Linked DNA regions of Danio rerio. Each later gene encodes a partner of the first gene's protein in a complex. Links are inferred from orthologs where the notes say so. Each region holds a gene or a part of one and is shown in the gene's direction. Other genes may lie near its edges. The genes, in order: cnot9, cnot7 and cnot11.

Region 1 (4,438 bases):
GCATAAAACATGCTCTAACCAGAATTTGTCCCATACATGAGCTCATCTGTCCTATTTTGACTGCTGCCATCATAAATATTGAAAATAATCCATCAAAAAAGAAAAAGAAAAAAAAAGGCTTTAAGACCAAGTGAAATCCTCTGTCGGCTGCTGCTTCGGTGGGACTATAATCTGATGTAAGAGAAGTCTTCTTTCACTACTGTATTGCTTTTAAACAGAGAAAACATTTACAGGTTACTTTTATTCTAAATCTGGGACCTTATTTCTGAAATAAAAATGAGCATTAAAAAGATGTGAAGCATCAGAAGCAGACCATATTAAATTAATTAGAATATATGTTGGCTATTGTTCATATCTAGGATTTTTCAATTGTATTTTTTTTTACCAAAGAGACTAGAACAATTCTGCAAAATTCATTATAATTGTTTTATTATTATTATTATTATTAAATTTTAACATTTTTTGGCCAAATTGTGACTAAGGGCAGTTGCGTGTGCTGGCCAGTTTGTTTTTTGTCTAATAAATGTTAGTGGGCAACAATTATTTTACTTCAAAACTTTGACAGATTGCTATTTTTTCTTAATGATACTGTATATTATTTAATAAATTTGTATTTTAAAAATTAGTCTTGTTTTATTTTTTTAATGCAATTTTTAAGACATATTTTTAGTACATCAAAAAGTGCGGTTTTGATGACATCTGACTAGTTAATCCAGCAAAAAAATCACTAAAATGCAGTTCAATTCAATTCAATTCAGCTTTATTTGTATAGCGCTTTTACAATGTAGATTGTGTCAAAGCAGCTTCACATAAATGGTCATAGTAACTGGAACAGTGTGGTTCAGGTTTTAGTGTTTAAGTTCAGTTCAGTTCAGTTTAGCTCAGTTCAGTGTGATTTAATCATTACTGAGAGTTCAAACACTGAAGAGCCGATTCATTGATGCGTAGCTCTACCAATCCTGAACCATGCGAGGCAGTGGCGACAGCGGAGAGGGAAAAAAAACTTCACCAGTACTTGCAGTATTCAAATCTCAAAGTTAAATAGAAACTGAGGCGTATAAGTGAAAAAAGTTCCACAAGGTCAAAAAGAACCACCCCTTTCACCAGGCTGGCTACGGGCATGCAGTGATGGGTTGCAGCTAGAAGGGCATCCCCTGCGTAAAACATAAACTGGATTAGTTGGCAGTTCATTCCGCTGTGGCGACACCAGATTAAAAAAGGGACTAAGCCAAAAAGAAAATGGATGAAAAATGAATAATTGATTATTATTGTTGTGATTATTATTATTATTATTATTATTATTATTATTATATGAAAATATCAATACCCTATTGTTATCATTAATCACATAATAATCATTATAACGTAATAATTTTAATACCATTATGATGAACAGCATATTTATAATAACTATAATCAATGAATTGTTATTTTTTAGTAGAAGTGAACAATGGAGTTTAAAATAAGCACTTTAAGTATAGTAGGCTACTACTCAAGAGTCGGCATGGGGGCAGCAATGAACACAGATGATCCTTACCCGCCAACAACTCAGAGAAAGAAAAAGAAGAAGAGGAGCGTAGAAGAAGAGGCAGCTGCGGAAGGCGGTTGTTTTTTTCCCCTTACCTCATTTGCTAATGTAAACCTGGTTTATTTCTCGTTGTTTTGAAAACCACTGTTCACTTTTATTCTGGAGAGCACAGTAAAGCGGTCGCGAGGATGTTGGCGACAGGAGCGGTGAGTTTCTGGACGCTTTTCGGGGTTTTACTCTTGTTTGTGCAGGGGCCTGGTAGAGCTAACGGCTAAAGCTAATTCAACCAGTTACTATGGTGATCTGTATTAAAGCTCGTTTTCGTCTTTATTTTAGACTTTTCTTTAAACATAATGTAGTGTAAGTACTTATAGTTATTAGAGAGTCATATGTGAGAAATTTATGCGAGCCTGACGTTTTCTACGTGTGCTTTTTGTAAACATAATATTAGCATAGTTGTTAAGTTAGTGTTTTATTTTTTTCATTTAAAGAACAGCATATTACATTTTACATCAAAAATATAAATATCAAACGAGGACGTATAAACAAAAAACAAGTATCCAAAATGTACATATGTAATGTTCGCAATTAAATTAACACGTTTGAGAGTCGCTGGTGCTGGTAATATATAAACATATTTCAGTCAACAAAGCCGTAAAATTAGGCTTCTTATGAGAAAAATTGCATTTCTGAATGTAAAATATAGATGACAATATAAATCGCGTTATAATTTAATAATAATAACAATATTATAATTTAAGTCAGTTAAATGCAGGGTTCATACGGTCATTGAAAACCTGGAAAAGTCATGGAAATTTGACATGGCATTTTCCAGGCCTGGAAAAACGGAAAAACCAACAAAGTTTTAGAAAAAAATCATGGAAATTAGTTTAACAGGTATCTGTATACTTAAATATAGATCAGTTGTCTTTTTTACTTCTCAGAGCTCAACAATAAGGACTGCCCGATGGCCCGGGGCCAGTGTGTGAGATGCTTGGGACAGTAGACAGGATCATTTATGCTGCCTTGTCACTAGTTTCATTTGCCTGTGACTATTTGTCAATTGCGTGCAAAATACAGTCTTAGAATTGAGAAAGAGTTTGTGTTTTCAAGCCTTCAAATGCTACCTTTCGGTTTTTCTTATCTGATTGGATGTTGTGAGCACATTATTTTTATCCGTATCAACCAGTACAGCGTAGAGACTCCAACATGGCGGTAACATCAAATGATTATGCTAAAGGAAGACATGTGTTTTTAATGTCTTGGAAGCAGACATTTACGAGGGTACACCACGACTAAAACAATTAAGTGATGTTTTGTACAGTTTGCCGTCAGTTCGGCAGGTCTTTAGCCATCCTTTGTTTCAGAACACTTAGAATTTTGCTCATTATACATTTATTAACTATTAATTAACTAGTAGTTTATTAACATTAATTTTTTTTTTAATATTTAAATTCTAGATTTACAAACATTTTGACATGTTTTTCTTTTTAATTTGTGGCTAAGAAATAGCTATTAACTTTTTTTGGTGGGGCCAGTTAAAATATTGGCAGGGCAAGTAAAAATCTGAACAGCTGGTCCGATTGGGCCAGTAGAAAAAATTCTTAGCGTTGAGCCCTACTTCTTTTCTGTCCATGGTCGAACACATGCTCTCACATTATTAGTAGTGTGTGAACATTGTCTAAATAAATTTTAAATGGATATAAAGATTAATTTATTCATTCATTCATTTTCTTTTTGCTTAGTCCCTTTATTAATCTGTGGTCGCCACAGCGGAGTGAACCATCAACTTATCCAGCATGTTTTTACATAGCGGATGCCCTTCCAGGTGCAGCCCATCACTGGGAAACATCCATACACACTCGTTCACACACATACACTACGGACAATTTAACTTACCCTATTCACCTATACCACATGTCGTTGGACTGTGGGGAAAACCGGAGCACGGTGATACCCACTGTGCCACTGTGCAGCCTATAAAGATTCATTTAAACCTAATAGATTGTTTTATGATATTCCATTATAACCTTTAACATGCATAGTTTTTCTTGTTATTTACCACGTATATGGAGACAGTACATGTAACATTAGGTCATTAAAACTTACTTGAAAATCATTGAAATGAAGGACGAACCCTGTAAATAGAATTATTTTCCTCATGGTCATTAGTAAATATAGTTATGAGTTATAGTTATGTGTGACTATTATTAATATTAATTTTGTCACCTGGTAATATAGTAACAACTTGTGAGAAAAAAAATTACACCATACATTTTGACATTTGAGTCATTAGTAGGCATGGGCTGGTATAAGATTCTGACAGTATGATATAACCTTGGATAAAAATAGCATAGTTTTGTGGTATCATTACTGCGCTAAAATAAGTGCTTTTTACATATCTGGGTAAAACAAAACAAAAAAACTTTCTCCATGCAATATATTATGTTTTATGAACTATGTCAGGGTAAATAGTAAAAATAAATCATTGACTTCTGCTCTCTTTATTAGTTTCAAAAACACAGATTTCTTTACAACACACAAAAAAAAAATACACTGTAAACCCTTACATATACCTTATAAACGATATAACAGAACATTTTAGCGGTTTTAAAGCCTTGTCTATTCCAAACTTTTAAATCGTCCCATGCCTAGACGTTAGTAGTCAAAGTAATGACTCAATGAAGGAAAGAAAAACCTATTTGTGACTTGTATAAGTGTATTTTGGTTGTGATGCTTATTTTAATAGAATGTGTCATTTTAAATTATATTAGGTAACATTTTTATTCAGGAAATATTTTTGTCTTTAAAGGGGATTTTAAAATATTTATCAGAGTGTAAACAGAATATAAGAATATAAACAGATATTAGAATATAAACAGAAGTCAGAATTATTAGCCCCCCTTTTAT
Region 2 (4,433 bases), on another chromosome or scaffold:
ACTATTGTTATCCTATTTTTCTTCTGAGACTAAAAATTAAACTCTATCTCCTCCTAGAGCTTTCAAGCTATGACCACCAAACTCACACCAGACCTCCAAACTGGTCTGACTCGGGTTGCTATATCTTTTCCGACTGATCCGACTTTCGGTTTTCCGAAAAACGTCCCGGGACCATCGGAAAAATCCCATTGACTTAACATTGGACCAATCTTTGTGACCTCATAACTCTGCATCAGACTGTCCTACAGACTTCTAACTGGGCTCATTTAACTCAGACTACCTAACTGCCAATAACTGATGAGCTTTTAACTTTCTGGCCACACCCTAGCAACCACTTTTGGGACCCTAGAAACTGTCCCATAGACTTCCACTGCAAAAGACTCTCATTGACTTTACATTGGGTCAAACTTTGTGAGCTCATAACTCTACATGAAACTGTTGCACAGACTTTTAACTGGGCTCAATTAACTCAGACTACCAAACTACCAATAACTGATGAGCTTTTAACTTTCTAGCCACACCCCTAACAACCAGATGCGGCACCCTAGCAACGATCCCATAGACTGCTATTATAGAGGTTCAGACTGATATCGTCATGCTGCAGTGAGATAGAGACATGTGTTGCTTTTAACTGTTCATACTGGCAAGAAGCTTTGATACATCAACAGTCTAAACTGTCAATCAACTCCATAGCAACAAAACAGACTAACCTAGCAACGATTTAACAGCAGCTATATCTTAGTATCAGAACATCTTAGAGAAGCTGGGGTTGGCTTGTTTGACTCATGCTAGCAAACCATCTATCTATCTATCTATCTGTCTGTCTATCTATCTATCTATCTATCTATCTATCTATCTATCTATCTATCTATCTATCTATCTATCTATCTATCTATCTATCTATCTATCTATCTATCTATCTATCATCTATCTATCTATCTATCTATCTATCTATCTATCTATCTGTCTGTCTGTCTATCTATCTATCTATCATGCTAATTCATGCTAGAATCATCTTTTCATACTTTTTAAAACTGTTTAAACTAAATAAACTATTATCATCAGGCTTTCACAAGCCTGCCTCAAAGTTTGTCCTCAAACTTTAAGAATCTAGTTACAAATGTTTCTTTACAATAGTATCTTTGGATACCTTTTCTGCTGGAGATACTGTTGTCCTAAAAAAAAAAAAAAAAAAAAAACTGAATACAAATTATTACACATACCTTGTAAGAAACGTTATAGCTGAAAATTTGGGCGGTTTTAAAACGTTGACTTTTCCAAAGTACAGTATACCTTGAGAACGGCTATTGTCCCATGCCAGACAGATAGATAAACAGAGAGATAATATGAATATATAGAAAATAATATGAAAATAAACATTACCTGGGGGTTATGAAGCATAAACATAAAAATAACTAAATTGCACATCAGCGTCTTTATTTACGAACATAAAACTCCCACGAGGAGTTCAAAGGTCAGGCGTCGTGGTGTTGTGACGTCACGCTGTAGCGCTGTGATGTAGTTTCAGAGGTGGCAGCTGGTTGTTGATATCGGTGTTAGCCCAATAAAACTATATAAAAGTAAAGAACAAACGTCCCAGTCCTTTCTAAACAAGGTGATTGTGTATTACTGAAGCAGTATACGCTTTAAGTGTAACTACCTTGTTTGAGGAAAGGTAAGTCCTGACAGAAAAAAAGTCAAGTTTGATCATTCTAACAGGACAAACTTTGTGGCTAAGCTAGTAGCTAACACGCTAGCCTCATACAGAAATAAACATTCACCCCGTTCTCCAAACAGCACAATTCACACGTTACGAGAGGCTACTAACACAGTTCTTTGAAAGCTTAGTGTAGACGTGATTTCAGGACGTTTGCGGTGTTGTTTTTTCAGTTTAGCAGATTTTGTCCTAGCTGCTGCTGATGCTTCTAACCTGTCAACCCACAGTAAGTTATTTGGGCGTTTAATAGCTTAAGGACATGTGAGGCAGAATACAATAGACTATAAAATCACTTTAACGTGCATGAATATTCAAAAGCATTTTTGGCACACAACCAATCTTCCTACATGCTTTGTTTGCATATTGAAGTGAATGCTTCTGTTAGCCTGAAACCATGTTGTCTTATCTGGCACTTGTTGTAATGTTTAGTCACACTACAGTAGTTTTTTTCTGTATGTTGTAAGTATGAATCATTATTCAAATGCTGTCATGAAGCAAAAATAGCAGCCGAGGAGTCATGTTTACAAAGAGGAAGCTTAGAGGAAGAAAATCTCCTTCTGTTTCTAATCTTCATAATGCTGTCTGGAATGAAAAGGTTGTTCATCTAACAAAGTGTGAAATTTGTAAACACATTTATATTGATTTACCCAAGTGAATCATCCAGGCCATGGCAGACGTAGGATCCACAACTAAATTCACAGACAAGTTTAGTTGTTATTTAGAGTTTAGAGCAGAAAATTCAGTTTGTGCATACTTGATTACAAAATTCTCATTTTAATGACAGATGATGGACTTTTGGTGACATATATAAACCATTTAGTACATATTCTTTTATTCATTCTGCATTTTGAACACTGTTTATTTACACTTTCATAAAATGAATTTGCATTTTATTTATTTGTTAGTGTATTGTTTGTGATGTAGTAAGAATAAAGTCATTTGATTTAAATCAGCAGGCTAGTTGTAATGCTTTGTTTGTTTTTGCAGGCAAAAAGAGGGAACAAGCAACTATTATTTCATGAGAATATCCCCTGGGGAGTGTTTTTTTGGTTTTGATGCCGTGCACCTGAGAGTGGAACTATGCCCGCAGCCACTGTGGATCATAGCCAGAGAATATGTGAGGTTTGGGCCTGTAATCTGGAAGAAGAGATGAAGAGGATCCGACAGGTGACCCGAAAGTTCAACTACATTGCAATGGTGAGTTTGAAAGTCATGTTGTTTCATTTAAATGAGTCCAGTTTTATTTTTCACATGTAATCTAGGATTGTTGCTTAGCAAGTTTAAATAGTGCTGTTAATATCCAGAATGTCTACATCAGATGTCACAGAGGTGTAAGGGCATGTGATGATTGTTATACTTGTTGTTTAAATTTCGTTTAAGCTGTATGTCACTCCCTTAGCTTTGCACAAAACAAAAACACATCTTGAGGGCCCAAAAGCATTAAACTAGATAGGCCTGTGTAATTCAAGTGAAGAAAGAAAAAAACAGTTTGTGTTTTTATAATTACACATGCATTCTGGGATCGAATGCTTCAAATAGACAGCCTTTTCAGATCATTTTTAATGCAACAGTTTGCTTTATACCCAGCCTGTAACATCGGTATCTATACATTTTCTATACATTTTTATCAATTTTATTTTGCTATACATGAAAAAGTTAAAAAAAGATAGTTATGGTTGCATAAAATGTGTTTGTATTTTTATAAAAACAAATTCAGAAGCATCACCTGAGCTGTAATGTTTCAGAAAAGACCAGAGGCATTGTCACCTGGCCAAATGTGAAACACTTGTGTTGTCATCAAAGCTTGTGCAGTAACACAAGGGAAAGGGAAGGAGGAAAAAAAACTTGACATCGGTGTAGTCTCAAGTTGGATAAAGTAGCATTCACTGCTTTAAGTCAGATGCTGTTCAGTATGTGCTGCCCTGCAAGTCAAATACACAGTCACATTTAATTTTGAAATAAAGCAGATTGCAGTTTTAATTGCATTGCTTAAATCAGTGGTTCCCAAAGAGGGGGTTGGCACCCCCTGGGGGGGTGGGGAGGGGTCGCAGGACAATGTGGGAGAGCCGCTTGATGATTTCCAAAAATTGATTAAATTTAAATAAACTATTAGAATTACTATATTTTATTCATAATCTACAGAGCACACAAATAGTATTTAATAGTTACATTAAACAACATGGGCAGCATGGTGGCGCAGTGGGTAGCACAATTGCCTCACAGCAAGAAAGCCGCTGGTTCAAGCTCCCACTGGGTCAGTTGGCATTTCTGTGTGGAGTTTGCATGTTCTCTCCGTGTTCGCGTGGGTTTCCTCCGGGTGCTTCGGTTTCCCCCACAAGTCCAAAAACATGTGGTATAGGTGAATTGAGTAAGCTAAATTGCACATAGTGTATGTTTGTGAACCCAGTGATGGGTTGCAGCTGGAAGGGCATCCGCTGTGTAAAACATATGCTGGATAAGTTGGTAGTTCATTCCGCTGTGGCGACCCCAGATTAATAAAGGGACTAAACCAAAAAGAAAATAAATGAATGAATTAAACAGCATACAAATAAAAATCTGCCTTTTTGTTTTGTTTTTTCTTTCATTGGATTGAGACTCCTGGGGTGTTTATGTTCGATTAACCACACAGCAATACCATCAAGGGCATCAGATTGATTTTACAGCACCATGTTAAATTGTGACCTTTATGGCACTTGCATATATTAAAAAAAAATAG
Region 3 (3,651 bases), on another chromosome or scaffold:
GTGTGTGTGTGTGTGTGTGTGTGTGTGTGTGTGTGTAGGGTTAGAGTGACGCAGCATCATGACTCTGGCCCCTAAGGATCTGTCTAATCTGCTGGGCATCATGTCGGAGGATGCGTGCAGCAGTAGTTTCGAGCAGCTCTCCTCCGCGTTCCACCATTGTTTCGGGAAGGCGGAGCACTTCGGCGTGGGCTCGGTGCTGGTGATGTTGCTGCAGCAGCCGGATCTGTTACCCAGCGCTCCGCAGCGGCTGACGGCGCTCTATCTGCTGTGGGAGATGTACCGCACCGAGCCGCTCGCCGCCAACCCCTTCGCCGCGGTGTTCGCTCATCTGCTGAACCCGTCCAGCGCCGCGGAGGAGCAGGAGAAAACACTGTCAGGTGCTGCTGCTGTTACCTGTTCATTTCTGTTTCACCTTCATCTCAATGCTGCACTTTAGTTATATTAATATACACTCACAGCACAAAAACTACAGGACACTACACACACACACACACACACGCTACAACACACACACACACTACATCACACACATGCAGCATATGTGACTGGATGGTAAATATTTGTTGGATTTTCAGTGAATGCAGTACATTTAGTTTGTTTTTGCGAACACTCCCAGTAAGCGTGTGTGTGTGTGTGTGTGTGTGTGTGTGTGTGTGTGTGTGTGTGTGTGTGTGTGTGTGTTGTGTTGCTGCAGGTTTCCTACCACCCATCACACTGCCAGAGAAGTTCTTCCTGTCTCAGCTGATGCTGGCGCCTCCACGAGAACTCTTCAAGAAGACCCCGAGACAAGTGTCCTGCATGGACATCACTTCCACACCGCAGACTATAGACATCAGCGGCCTGCAGCTCGCACTCGCCGGTAAGAACACACACACACACACACACACACACCATAAGAGCAGAGTGTGAAGGGTTCATCAGCAGAGGAGCAGCACAGTTCTACTTTAATACTGCACACACACTGCATTATGGGGACAGAGTGCTGCAGTGTGTCTGTGAGCGAGACAGCAGGTGTGTGTGATGTTTGAGAGCTGCGGTGTCCAGAGTAATGTCAGCAAACCACCAAGAGGAAGAAGCACATGCAGCAGGAGGAGCTGTGGAGGCCGGAGGAAGCTGCTAACCCTGACTGACCCAGAACACATCAGAGCTCAGCGGCCCGACTCACTGCAGAATGACATGTGCAGCTCCACTCTCCTGTGTCCAGCAGAACTGCTGCTCTGGAGCTCCACTGGGTCAGTATACATGACCCAAACCTCTGCTCACGCCGAACGCCGGCTTCAGTGGAGGAGCGGTGGGGATCTGGAGCTGTGGACGGTGTGGAGCGTGTGCTGATCTCTGATGATCCAGCTTCACTGTGTTTCCCACATGCGGGAGAGTTACGGTGTGGAGAAGCCCCACAGGAGCGGCCCACCCAGACTGCTGATGCCCAGAGTCAAGCATGCGGGGTCACTGATGGTCTGGGCTCAATATCATAATGTTCCCTAGACAGGTGCTAGATGGGCACTGGGTCGCTGCCAAGGAATACCCAACTATTCTGGAGGAGCATGTGACCCAATGGGTCAATCACTGTATCCTGAAGGTGTTGTTGTGTTAGGATGATGATGCAGCGACACACACAGCAGGACTGGAGACAGAGCGGTCTGATGAACATGACAGTGAAGCTGAACATCTCCCATGGCCTGCACAGTACCCAGAGCTAAACATTATTGAGCAGTTTGGGCTGTTTTGGGGGAGTGGGTCAGGAGAGGTTTTCCTCCAGCAGCATCAGCAGTGACCTGAACACTATTCTGAAGAAGAACCGCTCACAACCCCTCTGACCACTGTGCAGGACTCCTGTCTGACATTCCCAGCTGATGTTGGACTGAGGAGGAGGAGCTGCACCCGCTGATGTACAATTAATATAATATAGCACAAACATTCTCACATTCGTTTAGAATAAATCCAGTACAGCAGTGGTGTTATTGCAGATGTGTTTGAGGTGTTCAGTATATCTGTGCTCTACAGCAGTGTCTCCCTCTTCAGGACTGTCCAGTGCTCCTGATCCTCCAGTAATCTCTCCTCTTCTGTTCTCCGCAGAGCGTCAGTCAGAGTTGCCCACTCAGAGTAAAGCCAGTTTTCCCAGCCTGCTCAGCGACCCGGATCCAGACTCCTCCAACTCTGGCTTCGACAGCTCCGTGGCCAATCAGATCACAGAGTCTCTAGTGACAGGACCACGCCCTCCTCTGGAGAGTAAGATGATGATGATGATGATGAAGGTGATGTGTGTATTCTCCATCTGCTGATGGTGTGTGTGTTCCTCCATCAGGTCACTTCCGGCCTGAGTTCATCCGCCCCACTCCGCCGCTGCTGGTGTGTGAGGACGAGCTGTGCTGGCTGAACCCCTGTGAGCCGGAGCACCGTGTGCAGTGGGACCGCTCTATGTGTGTGCGCAACGGCACTGGTGTGGAGATCAAACGCATCATGGCCAAAGCCTTTAAGAGTCCACTGTCAGCGGCGCAGCAGACACAGGTACACACTACACACACACACCTCTACACTACACACACCTGTACACTGCACACTACACACATGTGATTACAGCAGTCTGTCTACCAATAAACGGATTTAAACTGTTCCAAGAGGTTATTCTGTATATAAAGTGGCGCTACACACCTGACCACTACATATACACACCTGTCCAGTCCATCTGAGCATGTGTGTGTGTGTGTGTGTCGTCAGCTGCTGGGCGAGCTGGAGAAGGACCTGAAGCTGGTGTACCACATCGGCCTGACCCCCGCCAAACTGCCGGACCTGGTGGAGAACAACCCTCTGGTGGCCATCGAGATGCTGCTGAAGCTGATGTCCTCCAGCCAGATCACAGAGTACTTCTCTGTGCTGGTCAACATGGACATGTCCCTGCACTCCATGGAGGTGGTCAACAGGTATGTGTGTGTGTTTGTGTAAGCTGATGTCCTCCAGCTGGATCACGGAGTGCTTGTACCTGCACAGTCTGCTGTTTAGTTTAGTGTTGAGGTCGAGTCCACCTTTGTCTAGTCCAGGTCAAGACCAAGTCCTTAACCAGTCGAGGCCAAGTCCGAGTCCTAAAGGGGCTGAGTAGGATTTAAGTCCGTCCGAGTCCTTAACATGCGAGTGCGAGTTGAGTCCAGAGAGTCATAAAATTCATTCATTCATTTTCCTTCAGCATTAGTCACTCATTTATCAGAGGTCACCACAGCATAATGAACCGCCAACTATTCCAGCATATGTTTAACACAGCAGATGCTCTTCCAGCTGCAACCCATCACTGGGAAACACCCATACACAAACACTCATATGCTACGGCCAGTGTAGTTGATCAGTTCCCCTGTAGCGCATGTGTTTGGACTGTGGGGGAAACCGGAGCACCCGAAGGAAACCCACACCAACACGGGGAGAACATGCAAACTCCACACAGACCCAGCCGAGACTCGAAACAGCAACCTTCTTGCTGTGAGGCCACAGTGATAAACACTGAGCCACCATGACGCTTAAGTCATAAAATTTAAAATAATAATGATGATAATAATAATAAGTCAAATATAATAAAAAAATAACAGTTGTTTAAACTGAATCTTTTGATCTATTTTTACAAAATGCCTTGTAATTTATTTTGTCAACTTGCTGCTAGTAAAA

The links.
Region 2: cnot9 (region 1) and cnot7 share a complex: the UniProt entries of both Homo sapiens proteins name them as parts of the CCR4-NOT complex. The link is inferred for Danio rerio from reciprocal best matches to the Homo sapiens genes CNOT9 and CNOT7.
Region 3: cnot9 (region 1) and cnot11 share a complex: the UniProt entries of both Homo sapiens proteins name them as parts of the CCR4-NOT complex. The link is inferred for Danio rerio from reciprocal best matches to the Homo sapiens genes CNOT9 and CNOT11.

What each region holds. Positions count from the first base shown.
Region 1 is NC_133197.1:12,453,678-12,458,115, reverse strand, and holds the start of cnot9 (CCR4-NOT transcription complex subunit 9), read left to right. Parts: upstream 1-1,500; 5' UTR 1,501-1,716; coding exon 1,717-1,734; intron 1,735-4,438. UniProt on the Homo sapiens protein: Component of the CCR4-NOT complex which is one of the major cellular mRNA deadenylases and is linked to various cellular processes including bulk mRNA degradation, miRNA-mediated repression, translational repression during translational initiation and general transcription regulation.
Region 2 is NC_133189.1:34,918,085-34,922,517, forward strand, and holds the start of cnot7 (CCR4-NOT transcription complex subunit 7), read left to right. Parts: upstream 1-1,518; 5' UTR 1,519-1,675; exon of another isoform or gene 1,676-1,943; intron 1,944-2,704; 5' UTR 2,705-2,797; coding exon 2,798-2,914; intron 2,915-4,433. UniProt on the Homo sapiens protein: Has 3'-5' poly(A) exoribonuclease activity for synthetic poly(A) RNA substrate. Its function seems to be partially redundant with that of CNOT8.
Region 3 is NC_133184.1:58,590,245-58,593,895, forward strand, and holds part of cnot11 (CCR4-NOT transcription complex subunit 11), read left to right. Parts: intron 1-38; 5' UTR 39-58; coding exon 59-377; intron 378-694; coding exon 695-859; intron 860-2,076; coding exon 2,077-2,229; intron 2,230-2,305; coding exon 2,306-2,508; intron 2,509-2,718; coding exon 2,719-2,921; intron 2,922-3,651. UniProt on the Homo sapiens protein: Component of the CCR4-NOT complex which is one of the major cellular mRNA deadenylases and is linked to various cellular processes including bulk mRNA degradation, miRNA-mediated repression, translational repression during translational initiation and general transcription regulation.